2 linked regions of the Rhinolophus ferrumequinum genome follow. Each later gene encodes a partner of the first gene's protein in a complex. Links are inferred from orthologs where the notes say so. Each region holds a gene or a part of one and is shown on either strand. Other genes may lie near its edges. The genes, in order: TACR1 and TAC1.

What was found.
Region 2: the proteins of TACR1 (region 1) and TAC1 are in contact, whole or in part, in a cryo-EM structure (PDB 7P02), measured with the Homo sapiens proteins. The link is inferred for Rhinolophus ferrumequinum from reciprocal best matches to the Homo sapiens genes TACR1 and TAC1. Residues at the interface, in NP_001049.1 of Homo sapiens: Gln24, Phe25, Asn85, Asn89, Tyr92, Ala93, Asn96, Trp98, His108, Asn109, Ile113, Gln165, Met174, Arg177, Val179, Cys180, Met181, Ile182, His197, Val200, Phe264, Phe267, Phe268, Tyr278, Leu279, Ile283, Gln284, Tyr287, Met291; in NP_003173.1 of Homo sapiens: Lys60, Pro61, Gln62, Gln63, Phe64, Phe65, Gly66, Leu67, Met68.

Annotation. Positions count from the first base shown.
Region 1 is NC_046296.1:16,982,368-16,992,696, reverse strand, and holds the start of TACR1 (substance-P receptor), read right to left. Parts: upstream 4,855-10,329; 5' UTR 4,048-4,854; coding exon 3,659-4,047; intron 1-3,658. UniProt on the Homo sapiens protein: This is a receptor for the tachykinin neuropeptide substance P. It is probably associated with G proteins that activate a phosphatidylinositol-calcium second messenger system.
Region 2 is NC_046303.1:29,687,832-29,698,626, forward strand, and holds the start of TAC1 (protachykinin-1), read right to left. Parts: upstream 4,896-10,795; 5' UTR 4,799-4,895; coding exon 4,670-4,798; intron 4,641-4,669; exon of another isoform or gene 4,492-4,640; intron 4,246-4,491; coding exon 4,114-4,245; intron 3,048-4,113; coding exon 2,951-3,047; intron 2,473-2,950; coding exon 2,428-2,472; intron 1,938-2,427; coding exon 1,914-1,937; intron 371-1,913; coding exon 317-370; intron 1-316. UniProt on the Homo sapiens protein: Tachykinins are active peptides which excite neurons, evoke behavioral responses, are potent vasodilators and secretagogues, and contract (directly or indirectly) many smooth muscles.

The sequences.
Region 1 (10,329 bases):
CCCCCCCCCCAATTCTATGGAAAAGATTTAAATTAGTACTAAAATCTGCTGCTCAAGATTTTCCTCTGCATACATTTTTGTTCTAGAAGAAAACTGAGCAAAGTTTACCAAGATGATTTGACCCAACAATTCCACTTCAATGAGATTCTTCTAAGGAAAGAACAAGGGATGTTCTAAAAGATTTATGTCCAAGATATTCATTTCAAAATTACTTTTAATCATTATAAATGGAAACAATTTACCTCTAAAAATAGAGAAATGGTTAAATAAATAATTATAGCCATGCAATATAATGCATCCATTAAAAGTGCTATTTTGAAAATAGTTCATGACATGGAAAATACCCATGACATGATGTTAAGGAACAAAACAAAAAAACAAAAACAAAAAAGCAGCTATTGACATTGTTTTTATCATGATCCAAAATTTGTCCTTAAAAGTATGAGTGACTGCATGTGGCATAAATAACACAGAAAAAGTAAGTACAAGCTAGCATTCCAGGATTTTAACTGGTTAACTGTCCAAAGTGGGATTGTAGATGATTTTTACATTTTCTCTACAATTTTATGTATTTTCCAAATGTTTTTCTAGGAACATGTATTATTTTATTCATTCATTCACTTATTCAATAAACATGTAGTGATTGTTAGATGCCAGGCACTCAGCTTTGTGCTGAGGAAATAAAATAAACAAGACAGAATAGACATGTTCCTTGCTCTGCTCAGAGTTTATAATCCTTTAAATTTAGGAGGAAATGTTTTTTAAAAATTCATTTCATTTGACCCAGTAATTCCACTTCTGGGAATCTACCCTAAGAAAATAATCAAGAACACAAAACAAAATTATCATACAGAAATGTTTATTAGTTTATTAGTCATAATAGCAAAAAAAAGTCTAGAAACCACCTAAATACCCACCAGTAGAGGGATGCTTAAAGTAATAATAGCACATTCATATAATGGAATATTAGGAAGACATTAACATTATGTTACTGAAGACTTTTTAATAAATTAGGAAAATGTTATTAATGTTTTCCATTAATATCAATGGGAAAAAGTAAGTTACAAAATTATATAGAGTCTGACTTCAATTATGTAGTGTAATAGTCATAAGAGAGAAATTCAAATGTTAACAAGTGTTATTTTTGCATAGGGAAGTAATGGTTGATTTGTAATTTTGTTTCTACGCTCTTCATACTTCCCAAATTTTTCTACAATGAACAAGGTTTAATTTTATCATCTGGAAAACCATCTTGCTTTCATTTTTAAAGACTGGATTCAAAGATTACCTGTTAAAAATTCAAAGAACATACAAAAAGATAGCTTAACCTTTTTTCAAAGCCCGCATTGCCATGGTGGAGAAAGGAGAGATCATTCAAATGGAGAGAGCTTAAGGCTCCTTCTTTATGAAAACATTCTTGGGAGAGAACAGATGACCACAAATACAGGGGGAGCTACATTCCTCAGAGGGGCTGAGGGGGCTAATTCACGGATTCCTCAATGAGGTGAGCAAGGAAAAATAGAAGGAGCCCTGAGAGACCTTGGAGACACAGCCCCAATGCCGCCGACACTGGATCCCTAACTCTACCTTGAACTTTAACCTTGAGCATGTCGTTGATAATCTCCCTGGGCTGTTCTGTACATAAGAGACATGGGGACATTTCTCGCTGCTGTCATTTCCCTCAGCTTTGGCACCAGAGATCCTCCGACCTCACTGAGCAGGACACACCAGGTCAGGGTCCTGTCTGTGGTTTGCCTAGAGAAAAACAGTGGAGCCTGAGATGCCAGAGTCCAGGCAGCTGAAATCTGGTTTTCTGCCCGATCCACTGTGAAGACTTTGACCCTGACTCTTGTCCTTAACCTTCTAAGTTCAAGGGAAAGAGCAGGGCTGTGGAACATGTCAGTTCTGTGTAAGCCAAAGTGAAAGGGCCATCCGCTGGGGCTCATGCTGATTGACAGGACTCCTGAGCTCCAACAAGGCCCCAACGAAGTACAAATAACAATTTTCCCTGTAATTTAGGGATCATTGAGAGAGCATGTGCAAGGCTCCAGTTTTCATCGTGCCTATATTCAGTTATAGATCACACTAAGGGGTTTCTGAGTTTAAGGGGGTTGCAGTGAAGTTAAAGAAGCAAGTCAGTGCAGACAGATTTACAACTGTACCTCACTCTCAGCAAACTGAGTATCTGCAAACTAGAGTAGCGTAAATGATACATTTACAAAGAATTCATTTCACTACCACTTTGTGTAATTGGTTTGCCTTCCACACTTAAAATATAACTGATTCACCAGAACTTGTCTTACACACAACATATCAAGCACATAAGAGTTGCATAAAGGGAAGTATACATGGGACTTAAAATTCAGCATGTGGATACCACTGCAAAGGAAACATAACTTTCTCGGATCTTACAAGTGTTCATTCACTAAAGAAGCTGAAAAAGACCTCAAACCAATTGGAAATCGTAAACAATCTTTATGCAAAAGCATTTAGCAGTTTGGGAAAAATTGTTTTGAAGTTTTTCGCCTAGCTCCTTCTTTGGGTTTCTCACATGCATTTATCTCAGCAAGGCCATCAAAGAACCCTCTTTTAAATCACAGTGGCAGGTGTTTCAAACATATCTCCACATCCCTGGTAAACATTTAACACTTATGTCCATGTAAACATACACACAACAGACCTAGGACATCCACAAAAAAATCAATACAAATATAGCTGTGCTCTAATAATCAATTTTCCACCACGCCATCTAAGGGTGCATTCATTCCAAAGCGCTAGCCTCAGTATTTAAAAATGCCAACCTTTTCACTTTCAATCAGGCTTGGAAACCCTAACCTGTTCGTTGCAGGAAAGAAAGAGCTCTCAATTGCCTCCGCCAAGCATGTTTCTCTGTGGATACATACAGGCTAAAAACATTGACTTCACATTACAAGGGAAATTTAGAAAAACTCCTGGATAAGCTCCCTAACTGTGGAGTTCCTTAAGGACAGCATAGCTGCCTCTCATTCCTGAATGAGAATTCCTAGCAGTGAAGAGGGAGCTGAATTAGAGTTCTGAGTAGTTATGATTCTATTGAAATGCTCTTCACATCCAAATAATATTGGAAAGTTGAGGTGGGAGCAGAAAGTCCCTGCATCTTCAGGAAAAAGTCCAAAATGAGAAATTGTTGCCAGGTGTACTTAAAACTGGAAGGCACCAAGAGGCTGCCCAAGAAAAGCAGGCATACAGGGGTTTACAGAGCCCAAGACAGGGGCCGGCCCCTCGGCCAAGCCTTGGGTATCCCCTTCAGGCTTTCAGGGCAAAGGAGAGAAGGAATATACAGAAAGAAGCAAAGCAGGAGTTGAAAGGAAAGTGTCTGAGAGAGGAGTGGAGAAGGGATGAAGAAAAGAGGGTTAAAGGAAATAAAAAAGGGAGCATGTGAAAAAAGGAAGGATGACTGATGATGGGTGAAAAAGGGGAGAAAAGGAAAGAGGAAATAGAGTAGAAAATGGTGATTAAGACTAAGTCCCCCATCAACAACTGGCTGCCAGCAAAAACCCCAGGGTCCAGGGTAACCACCCTCCAATTTGAACCAGACAGAACCCAACCCCGCTTCCCCATAGCAAAGCCATCGTCCTCTGTGGACACTTTCTTCAGTTTCCACCAAGGGCAAGCTCACCTATCCAAGGCGACAGCCGTCATGGAGTAGATACTGGCAAAGACCGCAGCGATGGGGAAGAAGTTGTGGAACTTGCAGTAGAACAGGCCATAGTACCACTCATTGTGGACAGCATAGGTGAAGTTTACCACCGTGTTGAATGCAGCCATGGAGGCCTCCGCGAAGGCCAAGTTCACCAGGAAATAGTTGGTGACTGTCCTCATTCTCTTGTGGGCCAAGATGATCCACATTACCACCACGTTGCCCACCACAGAGGTCACCACGATGACTGTGTAGGCAGCTGCCCAAAGGACAATTTGCCAGGCTGGCTGCACAAACTGGTTTGGCTCCGAGGTATTGGTGGAGATGTTTGGGAAGAGGTCTGAGTCAACTGGGAGGACGTTATCCATTCCTCAGCTAAGCGGTTAAGCTGTCCCCTCGGTACACGCACCTACGTTGCAGCAGGGTCCCGAGGCCAGTACCTGGGATCAGGGTCTTGCTTAACCAAGACAGGAGGGCTGCAAGCTCGTTTGGGCAGAACTCTTTGCTTGCAAGTAGGAGACTTGGCGCTAGGAAGATGAATGCTTCTGATGCGCTGTCTGCCCCTCTTGGCTCTGAATTCCCCCACTTTCAAGCTTCAGGAAGCATTTGAGTCCAGAAATCTGGAGACAGCGTCTCTCCTGCGTTGGACTGAAAACGGGAAAGAAATCGCGAGGGTCACGGTTCCAGGAAGCAGGAGACCCTTGCCTTTCTACACCTGCTGCTGTTTGTAACTCCAATCCCACCTGCCCGCAGCTGGGAAGGCAAAGCTCTGTGTTGCGTGAGGACTTGGGAGCCAAGGGGGTGCTCGTCACAACGCGACCTGCAAAAGTTCAGAGTCTAAGGCCGAGATTCTGGGGACCCGTGTCCAGCTGGAAATTTTTCCTTTGCTTTCGCCGCCGCCGCCGGGGCTGCTGCCACCGCCGCCGCCGCCACTGCTTGCAGCTTCGCAGCCGCCCCTTGGCTCGGGTCCTCTACGGCTTGTGAGTTAGCTGAACCTCGGCAGGCTGAGAGCGAGGTTTTTTATAACCCGCTGCAGAGACGTCACCGGGAAGGGGCAGTACCTGGGCTGCGTACTCGCCAGACCCGCTGCGCAGCGCGGCAGCTGCACCAGCTGTTGGCAACTGTCTCACTCCAGCGTCGCAGCCACCACGCCTTTTGCAGCTACCTGCTGTGGGAGTCCGCAAACCGGGCGTCCCACGCACTCCGCCAGGGGACGCTAGGTGGCCTCGGAGTAATTGAGCCAGCTGGGGTCTGCAGCTGGAACCCAGATGCACCAAAGGGAAAGGAGGGGTTGGCGAAATAGCTGTGGTGATGGGCTCTCAACTTCCTGGGAGGGCAGCTCTGAGCGCTGCGACAGTTCTGCAGAGGCGCCTGCCTGTGGTTGCGGGAGTTGGGCACGTGTAGGGGGCGGCATGCCAGCGCGGCTCTCCGGGCAGCACTCTAGCCCGCGCTCCAGTTCGAGTGAACCTCGGGCTTGTTCTGCCCGCTACCGAGAAGCGAGAGGCGACGACACCCGGTTCCAGGTGTCCGGAAAGGAACTTTGCGGAGGTAGTGTTCAGGAACACCCCTAAAATACCTAGCTTCTTTTCCTGGCTTGCCGATTTCCTTGGGAAGCTGGGATAGGTTCTAAGCTTTGGGGACACAGCCCCCGCCACTCTGGTGGCTTGGCCCTTGGCTCCATGAAAAGCTCCAGCTGATCTCTCCAGATGAGACCCGCGTCAGGCAATGAGGGCTGGCTGGGTTCCCTTCGAAGCTTGGTAAGCTCAGGAGTCACCCATAAGCAGTGTGTCGCCCAGATGCGCGGCTCTGGGCTCTCTCTGCCATCATTCACTGCATTCGCCGCCTGGGAACCTGGCAGCCTCTGCCTCCGCGCCTCCCGGGCCTGCGGGCCGGAGCGGGGACCTGGGTGGCGTTGGGGGCTCTTCCGCCCAGGTTTGCATAGGGACTGGAAAGGGTAGCTCTGCCCCTCTTTTCTCCCCCCTCCATCCCTATCACTCCTCCCTGGCGGGCTTCGAAGCCTGATCTCCCAGCCCAAGGCCACATCAAACGGCCGAGCGGGTGCCGGCCACTGGCAGGAGGTGGGAAGGACTCGCCAGACGTTGCAAACCGTTTTTGGAGACGCTCAGATGGACTCAGGTTCGGAGCGGGTTCCAGCCAGACTGCCAAGGAGATGTGGTTCCGTGGGGACTCGAACCTGCAGGCTGTTTCTGGGAGCCACCTACCCCTCTGCCCGCGACCCTCCCCTGCTTCACTGAGAGGACTCGCAACTGGGGGACGCCGACCCGGAGTAACACCGGGGGCTCGGGTCCGCGCAAGCACTCACTCTCCCGGAGCGGCGTTTGCGCATTAGTCCTGCTTGCTTGCGCGCTTCTACCACGAGCGCGCAAAGTATGTCGTGGGAAGCTCTTTAAGGCTTAGACATTTATTGCACCGATTTATGCCTGGCTAAAATCGGATCCTCTCTCAGGGCTGGGATATCTGCTAGTTCACTCTGTTTTTGTTGAAGCCTGGAATTTCATTGTTTATATGAACCGCACTTTGCACTGCCGGTTCCTCCAGGCACCCCTAAACCCAGTGATGCCTTGAAGAGAACAGCTCCCCCTCATTGGGAGAGGGGGGCGGAGCAGCGAAGGGATCGCCTTCTCTACCACCCTGGACCTCTCATTGCTCCTTCCACCATCTCGCAAAGCTGAGGGAGAGTGTGTGCGTATGCGTGTCCACCTTTAATGTTTCCTCTCTAGCTGTATAAAGCTGTCTTTCTCTCTTTCTTCTGGTTCAGGGGCAGCAGGCTGACATTCTCTAAAGGAACTTGACTCGATGCTTAAGGGGGAAAAATACTAAGCTAAAAAATAAGGATTTATCCATTTATCCTCCATTAGTAGAGCACGTCCATGTCTTGAGCCAGGTACTGTGCTGGAGATACAGCCGGGCAAACACAGTCTAGTGAGGGAGAAAGAGACAATTACGCAAACTGGCAGTATTATGATGAGCAAAGGTATTAGGCTCTGCTTGAGAGGAGAAGAGGCGGTGGGGGTGGGGAGAGTACCTAACCTTGACAATGAGGGGAATCAGGGAGGAAGGTAGAAAATCGTATCAGTGGAGAAGCCTGGAGAATATGTTAAGGATGAGAAGTGGAGGGTGAAATAGAAGAGAATATTCCAGAGAGACGTTTTATGTCAAACCATGTCACTTTGCGTAACTGCGTAAGTGAGGACAGCCCAGCTCTCTTAGAAGAACACCTACATTCCTTACTCTGACTTTCACAGGTCTTCATTTCCTGCCCTGACTTGTGGATGAAGCTAGCCTGGGTGACTCTCTTTCCTGCTCCTGGTTCTCCCTGGCAGGTAGCCATGTCCTAGAAATATATGTGACTTGCTGGAGTTAATTTCTTTCACACACACACACACACACACACACACACACACACACACACACACACACACACCCAAAGGATATTTATGATGGGTTCACATTTTTAAAAAGCCTCAGCCATACAGTAGCAGAAAGTATCCTTGGTTTACACCCATGCTGGGTGGAGGGACCTTCTCAAGCATTGTCCCTTCTAAAGAGACTTTCTTCCCCACATAGGGAAAACTTTGCACAAATGTATAGATAAGATATTATAGATATGCTTTTCTCCTCCAAGAGTTGCTATTTTTTCTCTTATTCTTTTTTCTTTAACTCCTCTTTCTACTGAACTTCCTCCTTGGCACACAACACAGACACACCAGTCTCACAGCAAATCTGTTGATAGCCTAGGATAAATCCTTCCTTATTTGTCTAGGTTCTTTAATACAATAAAAAAGAAATACCAACACACAATACCCACACATGTAAGTGTATACAAATATAGGACTTTCATTATTGTCTGAATTTTGTTTTTCTCACTCAAAATATTGTCTGGATGCTTCAGAGTCAACAAAGAGAGATTTAACTCATTCTTTTCAATGGCTAAATATTATTCTTGCGTTATGGATGCACCATAATTTATACACTCCTTTCCCTAATCATAAAAATTCACTTTGCTTCCAGTTTTTGCTACTAAAAACAATGCTGCAATATACATTTTTACATAGGTCTCCACAATCATGTTTTATTTCTATGGGATAGATTTCAAGAGGAATTGCTAGGTCATGGATTATATTTATATCCATATGTACGTGTGTGTGTTGTATATTCCTATTTTTGTTTAATGTTGCCAGATTGCCTTCTAAAAGGGTGTAACACTGTTATATTTCACTAGCAATTAAATTACCCTTTTCCCCACATCTACTCCAGTAATAAGTATTAAAGGTCTTTTTAGTTTTGTCAGTCTAAAGTATGTAAAATATGATAGCATTGCTAATACATAGTGTTTATTTTCCTGACTACTAGAGAATTTGAACTTTTTATAAGATTTTTTTTGGCTATGTGGATTGTCTCTTCCATAAATTGCTTATTTACATCTCTTGTCCCTTTTTCTGTTGGATATCTTTCCAGTCATTTTTTGTAAAATAAGTGCTTTTTGTATATTATAGGTGCAAACACTTTGCCCGTCATGAATATTTCAAATACTTTTTCTAATGTAAAAACTTAAACAATTTTTATGTAGTTTGCATTTGCTTTAATAGCATTTTGGTTTTAAAACATCTCCCCAAATCCTGGCTTTTTTCACATAGTCTCCTAGATTTTCTTGGAAGCTTTTCATTGTTTCATTTTTTAAATTTAGTAAAATGTAATTCACCTGGAGTTTGTTATTTTATATTATGTAAAATATTTACTTTTACTTTTATAGCTCCATCCATTTTCCCAGGGAATTCAACCATTATCCTTGTCATTAATTAAAATTTCAAATATGTGTGATTTAATATTTATATTCTCCAGTCTTTTCCACTGATTCACTTGTCTACTCGTATAACAAAACTACACACACACACACACACACACACACACACACACACTATCTTACTCTCCTTAGCTCCCTTGCAATCAGGCAGAGCCTTGTGACTAATTCAACCAGTAGATTTTGAATGGAAATGATATGTGTCACTTCTTGAGTGAAGCATAGAAGTGTGTGTGTGTGTGTGTGTGTGTGAGAGAGAGAGAGAGAGAGAGAGAGAGAGAGAGAGAGAGAGAGAGAGAGAGAGAGACTTCTTCATGTATTCTCTCCTGCCGAGTCCCAAATGATGCAGCTACAAGATGACAGGTCTTGATCACTGTGATTTCCCAAATGACTATACATAGGCCCCTGCTAAGTCATTATGGGCGTACATGTAGCGCGAGCAAGAAACAAATTCTGGTTGTGTTAAAGCATTAGGGCTTGGGCTTCATTTGTTACCTACTGTGATACAGCTTATTCTGACTAATACAGAAGTAAAATATTCTGGTATCTGGTAAGGCAAGTTCACCTGACTGCTCATTTCATACTTTTCTTATCTATTTTGGGGCATCACATTTAAACTTTAACTCAATTTTTAAAAGCCTGAACAAACTGCATTAGCACTCTAAAAGAAACTGCCTGGAATTAATTTAATTTTCACAACATTGACATTTCTATATTAAGTTTTTTCATCCAAGAACGTGGTATGCCTTTCTATTGTTTCAAGTCTTGTTTTATGCCTTTCAAAAAGATTTTATAATTTTGGTTAAAATAGATCCAGTCTTTTGATTAAATTCATTTCTACGTATTTTGTAGTTGTTTTTCCTATTGTAAATGAAATATTTTTTCCTTTTTTATCCTAGATCGAAGAAAACCTATTTACTTCTGTGTATATGTATTTGTGTGAGTATGTGTGTGTTCTAGCCATTTCACTACACTTTTCATTCATTCTATAGTTCTGTGTTTTTTTTTTAACTAAAGTTTATTGGAGTGACAATTGTTAGCAAAGTTACATAGGTGTACAATTCTGTAATACGTCATCTATATATCACATTGTGTGTCACCACCTAGAGTCAGTTCTCTTTCCATCACCATATATCTGATCCCTTTTACTTGAGTTGCCTTAGTTTTCAATCACATTACTAGCATTTTCTTGTCTCACTGAATTTTCATTAACTTCCAAGACAATATTAAATTAAAAATGATGACAGCAGGTATTTTCTTATAGTTTCTGAATTTAATTAAGATGGCTTTAGTTTTTACCATTTAGGATAATTGTTGTTACATTTGATAACAAGTCTTTTATGTTTAAATAGTTCCCTTCTACTTTATTTTGCCTTGAAGTTTTAATAGGAATGTCTTGTAATTTCTTTTATTTTTAAATGCCTTTTTCAGGATTTGCTGATATGAGTGTGTGATTTTTTTCACTAATTTGTTGCCATACTGGATTAAGTGGATAGACTTCCTCACACTGGCCTAAACATTGACCATCCTAGCATTCCTGGGATAAATTCTGCTGGGCCAGAGGCTGTATCATTCCTTTGATATATTGCTGGATTCTACTTGTTAATGTTTACTTTAACATATTTGCCCCTATTTTTCTAAGTGAGATTGATGTATAGATTTTTTTTCCTTTTCTATCTTGATCAGGTTTTAATATTAGTGCTATGCATCAAAAAATGAATTAGGAAGGATTTCATCCTTAACTATGGCCAGAAATATGAGTCCTGATCCCTGAACCAGCTAGTTGGAAATGCAAATTCTTGGGCCAATACAGAACTACTAAACTATA
Region 2 (10,795 bases), on another chromosome or scaffold:
ACATGTGGCTTAGTTAGCAGCTATAAGGGAAAGAGTATTAAGCTAGCCCAAAGGTTCAGGTTAGTTAATGATTAAATGGTGCAGACACTGGTAAGGCTGGCAGTTTGGAAAAGAGAAATTGATGCTTGATGATATTAGCTTAATCAGGTATAAATCTATTCTTGGATTTACTTATAGCAATTAGATTTCTTTCACCATAAATATTCATTTTATATTTATTATTCCTTTTTTAATACTTTGATAACTATGCCTTATAAAGAAAATATACATGTATATTTAAGATACTGTTTATTTTGAGTCATGATTTTATACATACCAGAATTTAAAGCTCTTTTGCCCATTAGTCCAACAAAGGAATCTGTTTTATGCCCTGGAAAAATACATTTAGGGGTATTTTAATATGTATATCTTTGAGGAAATAAACTGTTATAAGTAGTACAAAAAAAAAAAAAAGCAAGCTTCCAAATATGTGCCCATATAATAAATTGATGTCTATTTCAAGTTTTGGTGAGCCCAAAGAAATGAAGATTCATTCCTAATAAGTCTTGCAAATGACACTAAAACAATACAAGGAAAGCATTTCCCTCAATTCTATATCTAAATATTAGCAAGTACCCTTTATTCATATTATATTTTATCTGTTTATATATAAAGTTTTAAATATTGTTGCTATTTAAGCTAGCTTTGATTTTTTAGGGAGTCAATTTCACATTTGTGTGACAGAGAAATATCCAAGCCTATTTCCTCATGTTACTGAGAATGTTGTATTTCTCAGGAACGAAACCTTAGTTAAGTCTGATCCCTGCATCTGATAATTATAAACTTCTGAAAGGTCATGATTTCTATTTTATTGGACTTTAAATACTTCTCCTTTTGGAAAAGTGTGTTAGTTTTGACATTAATAGAGTGCATTTCTTTTTCATTACACAGGATTTTGCTATATATAATTCCCTAGAAAGTCAAATCCTTAGAAAGCAAATATGATTGATTTATATTCAAGGTTGAAGCCTTTGGAAAAGGTTATATTTTAACTCCAGTGGGAGAATGTATTTTGGTTTACACTGTATTGACAATCTTACTGTGGCCTACTCTGCCACCCAGTGAACCAAAATCTAAGTCAGGGTAAGAAAGTCGACAATACAATTAGGATGGAGCTCTGAGACTTTCTGTCAACTTGGTTCCATTAACTGGGAAACTGGGATCTAACGACCATCAAATGTCACAATTTTGCCATCTTCACTACCCTAAGAAATGCTTCACTGTGCTTTGATAGATTGAGGTTTCCCATTCAGTTATGGAATCGAAAAACTGCATTTCTATCTATCTACTTTTAATAAGGATTCTCTACTGAGACATTCAGTGGAGCCTCTTAATTGGCTGCTGAATTACCTTAATAAGTCAAGTCATCATGGCATCCAGCATACTCAACTGAGTTGGAAGATTCATATAAATATATATATGTGTGTGTATATATATATATATATTTGCAGTGGAACTGGTGGTTGTCACAGGTGGGGGAGAATGTGTGGTGGATTTATACTCCTAGGATTGAAATTCTTCTCTAAACTAGCAATTTATAGGCGTTAAAGGATTTTTTTTTATAGCAGCTTAAAACAATAACAAATATTTATTATCTCATAGTTTCTGTGAGTCAGAAATTCAGCAGCAGTTTACCTGGGAGTTAAAAGCTTTTTAACATAATGTATTATTTTGTTAAGTATGATATGTCTAAATAACAGAGCTTTAAACAGTCATGTTCTGGATATAAACATGAGTTCCTCCATTCTTATATTGTCTTAATTTAAAATATTAAGTCCCAAGTTGAAGCAGGAAATAAGATCAGGTGTTATATAAAGTGGAATTCAATCTTTTACATTTGTGTTTGATAAATGTGCAAATAATTTTGAACTTACTTTTATGAGAGATCTGGCCATGTCCTAGAAGAAAGAAAGATAAAATGAGCAAATGCAATAGATTTGTTTTAAAGAGGCTACATTATGTCTTTTAAAGAGAAATATAAAATAAGTTGATTTTTAAAATATGGAACATTGCCCATTCTTGTACTATCCTGAGAAATATAACAGAGCCATAAATGTTCACCAAATTATCGATAATAAAGCAAAATATTTTAACAAACAACACAATATTTTTAAGTGCTTTCTATAGGTCACAGATTCAAATCCAGGAGTATGAGTCTCCTGAGGCCTGCTAACAACTAGGCCATACCTCCTCTGTTTTCCTATAAGAAACACATCTTCAAGGATGGCTACGAATTAGACACTCAGGAGAGAGAGGGAGAGATACCCAAATCCATCTTTTTATTAAACAAACTTAGTCAAGAATCTGTATTTCAGCCTATAAAAGACATTTTCACTTTCCTACATATGTATTCACAATAGTAAAATAAAGATTTATAGAAATGTTTACCATAAAGAGCCTTTAACAGGGCCACTTGTTTTTCAATTGAGGAATCTGACAAGAGACAATTGACATTAACTGTTCACAGGTCCCACTGATGGTACATGAATTCAAAGAAAGTGAATATTTCTATCACTAGACAAGGGGCAGCTAAGTCTCTTCTAACCCCAATCGTCTATAATCAGCTTCCACATGCACTTAGACTAATCAGACTACTACTCCCTGAGGCTCCTGCTTGGTCAGTTTGGACCTTTAGTCCAGGGAGCTAAGGTTGGTTCCTGTTCTTGGTGGTTTGGTTACAACACTGTGAGGCATATGAAACAGATGTCTCCCTCCCTCCGCGGGCATGTGCGTGTGACAGTGAGGTGAGGGCAAGCGCCGCCCCAGGGGTGGGTGGGGAGGGGGAATTTCACCCCTTTTAGGCTAGAAATCTCTAGTCAAAGAGCCAGAGAGAGTGAGTGCCCTGAGAATGAGTGGGCAGACCCGGCGGATTGCCGGGAGAGATAAAGAGAGGGATGGCTGCCCATCTCACCAGCATCCCGTTTGCCCATTAATCCGAAGAACTGCTGAGGCTTGGGTCTCCGGGCGATTCTCTGCAGAAGATGCTCAAAGGGCTCAGGCAGCTCCTCCTGGGGGACAGACGTGCGAACAAATGGGCGTGTAGGCAACCGGCACGAGGCTCCCGGAAACCTGAGTCATTACCGTGGTGCGCTCCAGCCCTGGGCGAACCTCGGCGGCCCGCACTGGGGTCCGGTGGGGCCAGGACAGGGAAGCTGGCTCCACAGGCAGGCGAGAGGAGGCTTGGCTTACCCACGCCCGGCCGAGGGGGGTCCAGGACAGGGCGCCCCCTGCCTCCACCCCTCCCAGCGGAACTCCTGTGCAGCTCACTGCCTCCCCTAAACCCTTGCGAGTTTGCAGGAGGCTCGGTGTCTTTGAGCCCTGTACACTTTCCACTCTTTCTTCCCAGCCCGGGTCCCCTCCGTCATCTGCAGCGCAGCCACCAGACTTTGTCTTGCTCTGGCGCCGGCTTTGGAGACGCCTCGCCACTCTAAATGCACACAGGTGTGGTGTGTCTGTCGGGGATGAGTGGGAAAGGGTGACAAAGCTTTACAAGTGACCCGCACAGAGCGACGTTCCAGCGAGGCGCGCTCCCTTGTACCAAGAACCTGCGAGCCATGTAAAGAAAAACTGGCAGCTACGTGTTCAGGTCCGTAAAGTAAACGCCACGGCAGCACGTTAGCTTCCCATCCACCTCCGTTCATTTAAGTCCCCAGCAGCTCGCCCCTCGTCCCCGCTTCTGCCTATGTCCGGGGTGCGTTCCTTTACCCCGGCTCAGCGTTTCCAAACGCCAGGTCCTTGCAGCTGGACTGGAGTTCCCCGAAATCCCTGTTACCTGGGGATGAAACCTTTTGAGGTTTCCAGCCTTGTGAGGACCCCGGGCTCATCAGGAAGGGCATCATTGCTTCAGTGAGTTCCGGAGACCCGACCCGCAGCCCTCGGGAAGAAACTTGGAAGGTGGGCACAAAATCTCGTGCGGGTCCCAGGGAGTAGCTTCCTTTACATCCCCCCCCCCCGTGTGCCCCCACTGCCTGTGGTCGCGGTCGTAGTGCCCACCAGGCTAACTAGGGGTGGGGGGAAGTGACAGGTCCCAAGCCCAGGAAAAAGGACATGGGCCAGCTTGGGACCAGGGCTCACCTTGATCTGGTCGCTGTCAGACCAGTCCGACCAATAATTAAGATCATCACTGGCTCCGATTTCTTCTGCACACAGTTGAGTGGACACAAGAAGAACGACTGCCAAAGCCACAAGGGTTTTCATGTTGGATTTCTGGTCAGAGTGGGGAGAAGAGATCGAGGAGAGAAAAATACATGCATCGGGGGTGGCTATCCAAGAGTTGGAGCAGCAAAATTGTCGGTCCCACAACAGAACTAAGGGCAATTGAACCAAGATAAAAAGTCTAAGGGCTGAAGTCCCGCCTGTATCCTTTAGGAAAGATAACCATGCCCCAAAGCTTCTCGAATCCCCTTCTCCCTAGATCCCAACTCCCCCTGCCCCCGACCCACCAATCCACACCTTCAAGCCAGGAGTCTCCGCAGATGGAAGACAAAGAGGCACAGAGGCATTTGGAATACCTGTCTCCCTGCTGCACCCCCACTGTTTCTCGCCCCAGCTGGCCCATGCAGCTTTGTCAGCCGCCACTTCGGAGCGACGCGCGGCGCGGCGCGCCCCCCGGCAGGGCTCGGGCACTTACTGCTGCGGCCGAGCCCGCTGGGTTGCTCTGGCTGGTCTGAGCGCACGCGGGGCGCTCCACACTGGGTCGCTGTGGCGATGGAGGAGGAGGTCGCAGCGCGCTTTCTGCCGGCCTAGTGAGGTGCTGCATTTATCTGAGACTCCACGAGCCTCTAGACCCACGTGACTCGCTCCCCACGAGATTTTTCTGCTCAATATTTAATTAGCCGCCTCCTTTCGCTTGCGTCTGATTGAGAGTTTCCGAGACGGTAACCGGTCGGTGCCCATAATATCTGGACCCAATTGGGTTCGAAATGACGCAATTTTAGGAAAATCGAGATCTCGCCATCCAATCCCCAGGGGCCAGTCTTCTTCCGTCTGCAGATCTGACGCCCCCTCCCCTCTCCTTCTTCCAAACGGTGTTCCTTGACACTTGAGATTACTCATCAAAATTGAGCAAAGTGACTCATTCCTCGGACTTCGGCAACTTTTCCGTCCCTTGAGACGTCAGGATAAGTTGCACTTCTAAGGATGGGCAAATAACTTCAGGTATTAAGATCTTGTCGTCGGAAATCGTGCTAAGAAAGTAGGAGCACTTCAAATGGGGGAGGAGGGGTGGAAGGCATTTTTTCCACCTTCTGTTTCCATCTGCAGACTGTCTTACGTGTTTCTGAGATACAGCCTCCTTCCATGGGCAGAACATCCTTCTCCCATATCAGCTGGAATACCCGAATATCTTCAGCATTACAAAAGGATTTTTAGTCACCAAAGTATTTCAGAGGATGGATGCAGGTTTTGGAGAAAGGGGAATTTAAACGTGATACTGCAGGTAGAACTTTTATTTCAGTGCCATTCTAGGATATCTTTTGTTCCAAAATAGCTAAGTCCTATTCCTTGCCACATCCAGAAGCAGGGGGAAAGAGGATATTCAGCTTCTTCTCTCCTACCCTTTCTTGCTGAAGATTAAGAAACCGGCAAGATGGTACCAGATACTTACCGGGTGTCGCTAAACGACTGTAAAGATCATTCATAGATTTCTCCTATATCTGAAAACAAGTGTAGTGAAGATGCTAATTGCGTGGTCATTAACAATACGAAACTATTAGCCTAATAATATCTGTACAGAAATCACAGCTTTCCATGAGCCCATGGTTTGCCTTGCAGACACATTTCTTTCATCTCTAAATGAATTAAATGATGTTTCTTGGTGGAGATGTTTTCTCCTCTTTACTCAGTAAGTACTATATTTTGCAGCTAACTCCGATGTATTTAGTGTAATGCATAAAATAAATAATTTTCGCAACCCATATAAACCAGTAATTTTTTCCTCTAATATATGTTCTTTCTTACATAACCCTGCATTTTGAAATTCCCATGTGTCTCTCATTTCTTTAGGCCTAGCCTCACAACCAGAGGCATTCTATTTTTTGTTTTTATAAGTTTTTATATGGAAAATTATTATATTAAATATACAAAAGTAGAGAGAATCATCCACTTGAAACAATTTGCAAATTTTATCTAGAAATCCTTCCTATTTCACTTCCACTCAGATTATTTTGAAGCAAATCTCAGACATTTCAACTGTACATATTTCAGCATGCCTGTATATTTATATAATGGTAGAGATTTTAAAAATAAAAACAGAACCATGCCATTATTCCACCTAAAACAACACAAAATAATTCGTTACAATATTATATATCCAGTCAATGTTCAAATATTCCTCTTGTTTCAGAAATCCCTACCCCATACAGTTTACTAGTTGAAATCATACCCTGCACTTGGTTCGTATATCTCTAAAATCTCCCAGAAGCCATAGTTTATGGATAAAAGTAATCAATAAAGTGTACTACATTCTGGAGTTTACTGCTTGCCTCCTAATGGTTTCTTTTAACTTGTTCCTCTGTCCTGTTTCCTGTTAATTGGTAGTTGTATCTAGAAGCTTGATCCCCTGTAGGTTTGGTTTTTCTGACAAAGCTGCTTTGCACGTGTTGTTAGGAAACACATGATAACTGGTTGTTTCTTCTTTTGAGATGTTAGCAGTCTTTAATGATCATTTTCTAGATCTATTAGTTCATTAGTACTTTCAAAATAGTGTTATTCTGATTTTATCATTCATTCTTTATTGGTTAGCTGGACTATTTCTTCCATATAAAGAGAAACATTTTCTCTCAACAACTATTTAATTACTCCAAGACATTATAAATATAAGAAAGACGGGATAAGTGCTTGATTACTTCCTTTGACCAATTTTAAAAATGAGTTGGTAAATTAAAACATTCAAGCATGGACGTTTTTTCCAAAACTTTTAGGATGATTATGACCTCATGGAATTAAACATGTGAAGTATTTCAATCCTTTAAAGAAGGATAGAAGCAGGCCTTCTTCTAACTGATGCTCAAGTTATCCAGTTTCTTGGACCGTGGGTGACATTTCACATTGGTTCCTGAGACTTCTGATGTGTCTTGAATAGGCTTTAATGGCTGTCTTGTTTTTTGGTGAGACAAGATATGCCAGGTTTAAGTTGTGTATTTTCTTTCTCAGACCTGCAATTTGCATTTAAGGCACTCTCATTTCCTTTGTAGAAATGATAATTAGAGATTATAATCTGGGCATTGTGGATGCATATTACTACTGAGTACTTCATTGTTTCAAGACCTTTTCAATGAATAGAACTGGAAATGTTTGTGTGTAAAATCATAACTGTATATTGACACTTCCTCTGCAAATCAGGATACCATAGTCTCTTTCCTTAACCTCTTCTGTTTTGCATCTATTCTATCCTGCCAAAAAAATTCCAGCTCCCAGTGACGTCAACATAATTACTCATTAGCTTTATCCCAATGCATAATGCCAACATGATCAACAATATGATTATTAGAAACAGATTAATAGTTTTTATTTGCATGTCTTTATCTTTAGGCTATATCACACTAGGTATGTTCAGTCCATTTACTATATTTTAAAGTCACTTTAAAAGTTCTTCTCTGTATAGTTATGCTACTAACTCTTAAACACATAGGTTCATTTGATCATTTTGATTTTGAGTTTTAGGGACTGCTTTTTAAATTGAACATTATGTAAAAATACATAGTTCCAAACTCAAATATTCAAAACATAATGCATTCAGAGAAGTGTAGCTTTAATTTCTGTCCCTCCAACCTCTTCCTTCTAGTAGCATTTCTTTTCAGTTTTTTAGTTTATCCTTCTATTATTATTGTTATTGTTATTGTTGTTATTTTTATTTTGACATAAGCAAATATATGTTCATATCCCTCTCCACACTCTAAAATTCCACACGTAAAGTGGGGTATTTTAGATTAATTTTTTTTTTGTTGTTTCTCAGTTGCTGATGTGGTTTATAAGGTAACAATAAAGATGGCTATTTCTTCCCTGTTAGCTCAATGTCACCAGGTGTATAATTCTAGTCAGGTGCCATACGTTGTAAATATGCCACAGTACACAAAACACAGGGTGTTTCATATACTTGAGTAATAAATAATAATGAGATAAAATTGGTTAAAGAATACTTTTCTCACTTTTTCCATGTCATTCGTTAATTGCTAACTTAGTGCTCCTAGTCTGATCATGCCTTTACTGACACGCTTTGTCCTTGAACATTGCGGGTTTGGAACATTTATATTCTTTATGGTTTTCTTTGGAATATTTATACTCTTTATTTGTATTTTATTTATTATTTGGGATATTTATACTCTTTATTTGTTTTATTTCCCAGAACATCAAATTTATGAAAAAATATATTAATAAAATACATATGCATGAGAAGTAAAATGGTGAAAAAGTAAATAGTTAATAAATCATTTTTTATGTTTGTAAATTAAAAAAACTGCAGAAAATTACAAAGAAAAAAATTAATATTATCCATTTTCTCATAAGCCAGAACAAACCACTGTTAACATCTTGATATACTGCTTATAATTTTTTAATGGGAAAATAGTCACCTGATTGTTTTTGTAAAATAAGATACAATCTTTATAGAAAAACAAAGCAATGCAGAAAAGTACAATAATGTATTTCTTTTTCATTATTGCAAATTCAGAAATTGCCATCCTTAGCATTAAGAGAACATCATTGTGAATATCTTTCCATGCATATTATATGGTTAGAAGAATAGAACAGTAGACAGATAAGTAAAAATTATGAAAACAGGATGAGACCATCAAAAATATTTTTAATGAAAGATATTTATATTTTGTTTGACTTTAGCAGTAGAAAAACAAAAAAAAAGTGAAAAATGTTTCTTCACGTGATATTTTTTCTTCAAAAGAACCCGTTAATGTTAAAAAACAAGACTTAGAAATAAACATTAAGAAGCTAGCATGTAACATTAAAAAATAGACATTTAGATAATATCTCTTTATTCCCTGTTTTGAAAGATGAGGACATCAGCACTCTTAAACTTTCTCCCATTTCCCCTTCTCCTATCTCCCCATTTTGATAGTTACATGATTATTTTAAAATTATTCAGGTTTATAATACTTAGATTTAGTTTTGCTACCATACTTTTATTAGTATTTGAAATGTCTACTATTCAGCCTGTATTTAAACAGTTTCACTGTTCACTACCAGTTTTTTGTTTGTTTGTTTGTTTGATTTTTAGTTTCAGGTGTACAAAACAATGTAATAGGTAGACACACTACTGAGCTTTGCCATTCTCAAGTTTATTTTTAATCGTCTCTTATTTGGCTGGAAGTCACTGTCAAGCAAATTTTTTTCCTCAGGAAGAAATGACACATATTGTGTTCCCTGAGTTCTCTCATGCTAGTGAATATCTGTCTGTGGCTTCTAAGCTCAAGGGACATCTAGATTAGTTGTAATACTTTAAAGTTAAATTTTATTTTTCACAGTACTTTATGGATATTTCTCCATTGTCCTGTGGAACTGAATGTTATGGAGAATTCTGAGGTGGGACAATTTTTCCCTAAGCTTGTATGTAACTTGCTTTTTTGCCTGACTATCTGAGGAATTCTTTCTTTATTCTTGACATTTAATAGTTTAATTAGGATATGTCTTGTTGTTAGTCATCCTAAATCTGATTTTATTGGAGTTTCATGAACTGTTTTTGTTTTGCAAATTATTCTCTTTCTTCATTTAGGAAAATTCTATTGTATTAGGTCTTTAAATATATCTTTGAAGTGGAAATTTCATTTAAAGAATGCTATGGTCTTTTTCTTTGGATCATAATATATTTTATATTATATATAAATATTGTAATATGTTGATATCTCATGTCTATAATATTCTTCCAAATTGCTTTAATTCTTTGCCCCTTTCATCTGTATTCACTTAGATTACCTTAAGTCTTTCCTTTTTGGGTCAGTAATTCACCTTTGTTTATTCTGTACCTTGCCGTTTCTAATTTACTTATTATTTCCATAATCATGTTGCATATTCCCCTACTTGTTCTCATAGACTAGTATTTTCCTTTTTTGTCTCATTTAATTACTTTATTATTTTATTGGTATGCTCTTATTTTATTGCATTTATGTTCTTGTTAAGATGTTCTTAGCGTGAAGTAATTGAGGGAATTTCTTTCTGTTTCCTGAGTTATATTTTTTTCTGGTTTAATGGTAAATGCATGAGTTTTGAGCAAGTGCTACCAATTTTAATACTGGCATAGCCACTTTCTAGTCATGTGGGCTTGGACAAGTTACTTAAGCACTCTGCCTCAATTTTCTAATCTGCCAAATAGTATAAGAAATAGTACTTACCTTATAACATTGCTGTGGCAATTAATTGAGTAAATACATGTGAAGTATAAAGAACAGTGCCTAGCACATGCAATGAATGTTTATTATTATTATTCTAGGTGGCTGTGTGTGTGTGTGTGTGTGTGTGTGTGCGCGCTAATGGTTAATTTTATCTGTCAATTCAACTAGGCTTATGTTGCCCAGTTGTTTGGTCAAACACCACTGTAAATATAGCTGTGAAGGTATTTTTAAAGATGTGATTAATATTTAAATCAGTAGACTCTGGGTAAAACCACTGCTTTCCATTATGTGGGTGGGCTTTATCTAATCAGTTGAAGATTTTAAATGAAAAAGACTGAAGTCTCCCAAGGAAGAAGGAATTCTGCTCCAGACTGCCTTTAGACTCAAGACATCAACTTTTTGCTGAATTTCCAGAC